2 linked regions of the Macaca fascicularis genome follow. The main gene of each other region encodes a partner of the protein of the gene in region 2 in a complex. Links are inferred from orthologs where the notes say so. Each region holds a gene or a part of one and is shown on either strand. Other genes may lie near its edges.

Region 1 (3,245 bases), on a different chromosome or scaffold from region 2:
CTGTGCCCCGAGGTCTTCCACCTTTGACTGTGCATGCATTATCTAGTCAGTCAGGGCTTACAGCAAACTGTGCCCACATTACCATAGCCCAAGGCACTGGTTTCTAGGTGGCGAGAATTCCACATGCCTGGCCAGACTCCAAAAAGCTTGCTTCCCAAAAATATCACCCTATACACTCTCCTGGAAATCTACATTGAGACGTTGATTTCATTGGGCCAAACAGAGGCCCAATCTCAAGGGACCTTCTAGTAAACTACAAGCCCCTGGTCATTAAACCCTGAGGCCTCATGGTCAATCACATACTAGCTACTTGCCTAAGTGACAGGAAAACCTGAGAAGAAGTCCCCTGGCTGGTGCAGGGAGGGAAGGTGGAGCTATTCCCCTGGGGAGGGGCTGCTGCCAGCCTGCATGCTCCTCCAGCACCAAGTAGGGCTGTTCTATTCCCCAGACTACTCACTGCTGCTCACCTTCATCTACAACGGGCGTGTGGTGGGCGAGGCCCAGGTGCAAAGCCTGGATTGCCGCCTTGTGGCTGAGCCCTCAGGCTCTGAGAGCAGCATGGAGCAGGTGCTGTTCCCCAAGCCTGGCCCACTGGAGCCCACGCAGCGCCTGCTGAGCCAGCTTGAGAGGGGCATCCTGGTGGCCAGCAACCCCCGAGGCCTCTTCGTGCAGCGCCTTTGCCCCATCCCCATCTCCTGGAATGCACCCCAGGCTCCACCTGGGCCAGGCCCACATCTGCTGCCCAGCAACGAGTGTGTGGAGCTCTTCAGAACCGCCTGCTTCCGCAGAGGTGAGGCTGCTCTCTCTGGGCACCTGAGCTCCCACCCCCTACCTCTTAGTACCCCCTGGGCCCAACTTGGTGGGTCCTGCCACTTCCCTATCTGCCAGCAGATCCTCCATGTAGCCTATGCATGGCACTCCTGCACTTGTGTGGTGCACATCCTGTGTGGTCATATGCCCAGCCTGGCAGCTACCTGGCAGCTCTCCTCCAGCCAAGACAATGGAAGAGGTGGTTCAGGTAGAGCCCAGCACAAGAGTGTCGTATCTTAAAGAACACCATCACAGTGAAGCATGCAGTCACTATGTGAAGGTGCACAGAAGAATTGGCACAGAGATTTTGAGCTTCATGGCCTTCTCCTATATACACAGATTTGGGAGAGCTGGCACACATCACACACTCTGGCCCTGGCTGCACTGTCTCTACTACAGTCCAGGCATGCCTTAGGGTTGCGCTTCTCTCCCATCCAATTCCAGCTCCTACTCAATTCTAAACCTGACCTTAAGAGTGGGACCAGGTGTACACGGGTGCAGAGTGTGGGTGTTCCCAGCACCATGGGTACCCTAGCACTGGAAGGGTGTGAGCAAGCAGCAAAGGTCTGGGCACATCTGTGTTAGCAGCCAGGGCTGCTGCCCGGGAGGACTCTAAACTCTCCCAGCAGAGAGCTTTTTCAGCTGTGCAGTGATCTACTTCTAAGCACTTATTTGAGGCAGGGCCACCCTTTCCCTATTTGCACACGGGTGAGTAGCATTTAGTTCCAAGTACTTCTGACCTTGCAGCTCCTGCTGTGGCAGGACCCCCTCCTACCTCTCTCCATCATGGGTTTCTCACTATTGCCTCCCTGCCTGTGGCCCTCTCTTCTTTTTGAAATTCTTCCAACCCTTGACCCTTTCTCTTTCAGACTTGGCCAAGTACTTCCAGGGCCTAGGCCCCCCACCGAAGTTCCAAGTAACACTGAATTTCTGGGAAGAGAGCCGTGGCCCCAGCCATACTCCACAGAATCTTATCACAGTGAAGGTGAGCTCAGAGCAGGGGCAGAGTACCCATCTAATGAGAGCGGGGGCAGTGGTACTTCAGGAGGCAAAGGGGGTTTCCTAGTGGGGAAGGAGCTCCTGGGGGTGGTGTCTGTCCCTGATGCACTCACTAAGACACTCTTCTCCATCTCTTCCAATACAGATGGAGCAGGCCTTTGCCCGATACTTGCTGGAGGAGACTCCAGAGCAGCAGGCAGCCATTCTGTCCCTGGTGTAGAGCGTGGGGTACCCATCTTCCACCTCACCTCTTTGTTCTTCCTGTCTCCTTTGAAATAGACTCATTCTTCACACGATTGACCTGTCCTCTTTGTGATAAGTCTCAATAGTTGTCTGTGATAATTGTATCCTGAAAATCCTCGCACACACTGGCTGGTGGAGCACTCAAGGCTAATTTTTTTTCCTTTTTTTTTTTTTAATTTTGACATATACACCCTCTTTCATCTGTAAGGGACTGGGAAATTCCAAATGGTGTGAACCCAGGGGGCCTCTCCCTCTTCCCTGACCTCCCAACTCTAAAGACAAGCACTGCCGGGCGCGGTGGCTCACGCCTGTAATCCCAGCACTTTGGGAGGCCAAGACGGGCGGATCACGAGGTCAGGAGATCGAGACCATCCTGGCTAACATGGCGAAACCCCGTCTCTACTAAAAAATACAAAAAAATAGCCGGGCGAGGTGGTGGGCGTCTGTAGTCCCAGCTACTCAGGAGGCTGAGGCAGGAGAATGGCGTGAACCTGGGAGGCGGAGTTTGCAGTGAGCTGAGATCCGGCCACTGCACTCCAGCCTGGGCGACAGAGCGAGACTCCATCTCAAAAAAAAAAAAAAAAAAGACAAGCACTTTATATTTTCCTCTTAGATATTCACTAAGGATTTAAAATAAAATTTTATTGAAAGAGGAATCAGTATCTGATTTTCTGGGAGAAGAAGGTAGCAGTGGTCACAGATAGAGATGTAAACTTAAGAGTGGGGCACTGGGGTTCTCTTCCTGCTGACATCTCCAGCCTTTTTCCTCTCCTCTGCCCACAGGTTCTGGCTAATATGCTATCTGGGCCCTGTGGGTCCTGGGCCTGGCACTCTACAGAGGTACCCTCTGGGCAGACAAGATTAGGGAGTGGGTTGGGATAGGCCATCGAAAGGGGCATCAAGCCTTCAGCCAGGCACTATAGCCACCAACTTCACATGGTAAAGTCTGGGCTTCATAGTTCTTGCTAGAAGGCCTCAACATCGGGCCTGAGGTTAGACTGGAGGTCTAAATGAAGAGGAGACACTTGAAGGTGACCTGAAACTATGGTCTAGAGGCCCTGGGGCCTGAGAACAGAGGAGTCAGAGCGAAGAGTTGCTAAACCTGTACCTGTTGTTACTGGCACCTCTTCCTCCAGCACAAATTTCACCGTCACCCCAGCAGGGTACTCCCAAACTGGATTCCTTGCTCTATC
Region 2 (3,749 bases):
TTTGTAGAGATAGGATTTTGCCATGTTGCCCAGGCAGATCTCAAACTCCTGAGCTCAAGTGATCTGCCTGCTTCAGCCTTCCAAAATGCTGGGATTACAGGCATGAGCCACCATAACCAGCCTAATGGTAATTTTCAAACACACACTAAAGCAGAGTGACTAGTACAAGGATCACCATCCAGCTTTAACAAACTACTGTTTCCACTATCTTATTTCATCTATCTCTCTAATTCATTTATTTTGCATTTATGTGTTTGTTGTTTATATTTGTTTATGCTAAACAAATATAAGCATTTAAAGATCAGTGTTGATGTTAAGTATTTATTACAGCATGATCCCTGCTGACCCTGAAGCTTTTTTTTTTTTTTGAGATGGAGTCTTGCTCTGTCACCCAGGCTGGAGTGCAGTGACATGATCTCGGCTCACTGCAAACTCTGCCTCCCGAGTTGAAGGGATTCTCCTGGCTCAGCCTCCTGACTAGCTGGGACTACAGTCGCCCACCACCATGCCCTGCTAATTTTTGTATTTTTAGTAGAGATGGGGTTTCACCATGTCATCCAGGCTGGTCTGGAACTTCTGACCTCAGGTGATCTGCCCACCTTGGCCTCCCAAAGTGCGGGGATTAGAGGTGTGAGCCACCATGCCCGGCCACCTGAAGCTTTTTTAGGAGCTAAATCTTTTTGGAGGTTAGGTAAGTACACCCTATAAACTGCCCTCCATATAGGAAGGAGGAGCTCCATGCTAGAAGACATCTAAATGCTATGCAACGGGTTGCTCAGTCCCTAAGAATATGACACGTTTATGACCTGTGAATCTTGAATATAAGTTATCAACTTTGTGAGATCCTGAAACTTCACTTAAATTTTTTTTGTTTTTTTTGTTTTGGCAGGGCACAGTGGCTCATGCCTGTAATTCCAGCACTTTGGAAGAGGCGGGAGGATCACTTGAGGTCAGGAGTTCAAGACCAGCCTGGCCAATGTGAAATCCTATCTCTACTAAAAATACAAAAAAATTAGCCAGGCATGTTGGTGGGCACCTGTAATCCCAGCTACTCAAAAGGCTGAGGCAGGAGAATGGCCTGTACCCAGGAGGCAGGGGTTACAGTAAGTGGAGATCACATCCAGCCTGGGAGGCAGAGTGCAGTCTCTGAATCAAAACAACAACAATGAATTGGCTTTTGCCTGTCACCAAGCAGGCTGTGCCTTGCATCCTTCTCCCCACTGTTCCCTGCTCGCTGCCATCTGGTGTCTATTTAGGAAACTGAAACTTAAGCTTGTTGCAGCCTGAGCCTAACAAAACAGAATTCATGCACATTAGTGGTCTAAAAAGGTCACATGATTTTATTACAAAGTAAAAAGAAATGCTTGGGGTGGTATAGTCTTCTACTAACATGAATAACATCAGCTGCCCTTCTACCTCCAGCAGGAACAAGGGAAGGGAGGGATTGGGCAGGGGCTATTTTCATTTTAACCCTTTTAGTAGTGCTTGATTTTTAAAACTATGTGTCTGTATTGCTTTTATGATACAAAAAAATATAAGTTAAAAAAATGATTAGGTGGCCAGGCATGGTGGCTCATGCCTGTAATCCCAGCACTTTGTGAGGCCCACAAGACGGGAGGATGGCTTGAGCTCAGTCAGGAGTTTGAAACCGAGCCTGGGCAACATACTGAGATTCCATCTTTAAAATAATAATAATAATAATAATAATAATAATAATGAGGTCCCAATTCTTGAGGATTTAAGTGTCTGATATTAAAGGAGCAAGTCAGCAAAGATTCAAATATGAAAACAAAACAAAAAACCTGGTCTCCCCGAATGGATTGCAAACACTGAGGTTAAGAGCTAAAACAATTTTTTCTCATTATCTCTCACTCTTAAGCACATATTTTGCACTCAAGAAGCTTTTCTGAAATGAACTGAATTTTGTGTGTGACCTTAGGCAATGTTTCATCTTTCAGTAGCTTATACTTTTAAACAAAACAAATAAAGACGATAGATTTATCTATCTTTGTTTTTAGATTTATCTATCTTTGAACATCGTTTTTAGGTGAAGATAAAAAATAATGCAGAGCAGAGTAACGTCAGATACCGAACCAACAATGCCAGATTCCGGGTCTCGGAAGCTGCAGGGCAGTTTTCGGGGAGGGGCATTGGGGTTGGGGAGATAGGCTGGACAGGAGAAGATCGAGAACCGAGCAGGCGACAGACAGCTCCTCTTTCAACCTGGGGACAGAAGCTGCCCCCTCCAGGGCGTAACTCCTGGGGCCAGTCGCCCTTCCCTGGGAGGAACTCTCACTCTCACCCCCACCCCTACCTCAGCACACCCTCTCAGGGCCCGTACCTGATTAGGGTTGCAGTCTCCGCGCCCTCCACTGGCTCTGGTCGCGACTTCCCGTCCGTAGAAGGAGTTCGGGTACTAGAGCCTCAGGCCCCGCCTACAACTTCGGCCTACACCCTCGGACCCGCCCCCTCGTAGTTGGCAGCGGAAGTCCGGAGCGGCCCCATTCCCAGTCGCCACCCCGACACTGGCTGCCACTCAGTCAAGCCCTTCCCAGACTGCGAACTCACTGGCGCCGCCGCAACTACACCCCCCCGCGGGGCGGGACAAGCTGAGCCGAAACCACACCTGCAGCTCCAGCGATTGGTGGAGAAGTTCAAGTAGGCACTTTCTACGAGGGGAGGAGTCTAATTAGTGGACTGGCCCAAGACTGAAACAGCTGATTTTCGAGAACCCGCTCGTGAGCCACGGAACCGAAACTAGCTTGAGGAGCCTGTAGACGCCAAGGGCTCCATGGGAAGGGGTGGGACCGGAATTTCGACGCCTTGGGATAGGAAGAGGAGGGCTGAGGTAATGAAAACAGTATTTTTTTTTTTTTTTTTTTTGAGACGTGGTCTCGCTCTTATCACCCAGGCTGGAGTGCAGTGGCGCGACCTCGGCTCACTGCAGCCTCGACCACCCGGGCTCAGGTTATTCTCCCGCCTCAGCCTCCCAGGTAGCTGGGACTACAAGCGTGCATAACTCCGCCAGGATAATTTTTTGTGTTTATTGTAGAGACGGAGTTTCGCCATGTTGCCCAGGCTGGTCTTGAACTCCTGACCTCAGGTGATCCTCCTGCCTCGGCCTCCCACAGTGCTGGGATTACAGGCATGAGCCACTGCACCTGGCTAATAGCTATTTATTGAGAGTACTGTGATAAGCACTTTAGATTAATTGTGTCATTTAAAATTTACAGGGCAACTCATTGAAGTTAAAATCATTCTCTCCTTTAGAAATTTAAAAACTGATCTTAGTTCAAGAAAGAAGTTACCAGTCAGTGATCACGGAGGCTCTAACAAGTGGAGCCTAGATTCAAAACCAAACCCTCTGACTTCAACCCCCAAACATTTACGTTCCTACGTTTTACTGTACAGCCTTACTCCTGAATAAATCGGAGTTTAAAATTTTGAAGACATGTATACAGCTTGTCAGGATATTAGATTTATTAGTTCTGTGGTTACTACCTTCTTTTATATCCCAAGACTCCCAGCCCCAGGATCTAAGTCATAGCTCTTGATTATGGCCCACCCCCAGTAGGGAGCTGAACTTACTACTTCTGATATGAAAGAAGCCAGGGTAGTTGTTTCTTCCAAGTCACTCACATCTGAGATGGCCCTTAAACCCTCCTTGGTGGTCTCTGGCTGAGAGATGTTTGCGTCTTTCCGATCTTGGTAATACTGGATCAACTGCTGAACCCCAGACCTTAATGCAG

What was found. The genes of interacting proteins can lie anywhere in the genome.
Region 1: the proteins of STAT2 (region 2) and IRF9 are in contact, whole or in part, in a crystal structure (PDB 5OEN), measured with the Mus musculus proteins. The link is inferred for Macaca fascicularis from reciprocal best matches to the Homo sapiens genes STAT2 and IRF9. Residues at the interface, in NP_064347.1 of Mus musculus: Arg163, Gln164, Lys166, Asp167, Glu168, Asp170, Val171, Phe174, Arg175, Thr177, Val178, Phe179, Leu181, Lys182, Asp188, His190, Gln191, Gln193, Gln194, Leu197, Thr201, Lys204, Met208; in NP_032420.1 of Mus musculus: Leu206, Leu208, Tyr212, Leu233, Asp234, Arg236, Ser244, Glu245, Ser246, Ser247, Met248, Asp270, Arg271, Leu274, Val275, Ala276, Asn278, Ser279, Arg280, Phe283, Val284, Gln285, Leu287, Cys313, Glu315.

Annotation. Positions count from the first base shown.
Region 1 is NC_088381.1:91,979,675-91,982,919, forward strand, and holds the end of IRF9 (interferon regulatory factor 9), read left to right. Parts: intron 1-448; coding exon 449-790; intron 791-891; coding exon 892-1,018; intron 1,019-1,679; coding exon 1,680-1,795; intron 1,796-1,954; coding exon 1,955-2,088; 3' UTR 2,089-2,702; downstream 2,703-3,245.
Region 2 is NC_088385.1:63,163,840-63,167,588, forward strand, and holds the start of STAT2 (signal transducer and activator of transcription 2), read right to left. Parts: upstream 2,561-3,749; 5' UTR 2,342-2,560; intron 1-2,341. Other genes in the region: APOF (apolipoprotein F), read right to left, coding at 3,508-3,749. UniProt on the Homo sapiens protein: Signal transducer and activator of transcription that mediates signaling by type I interferons (IFN-alpha and IFN-beta).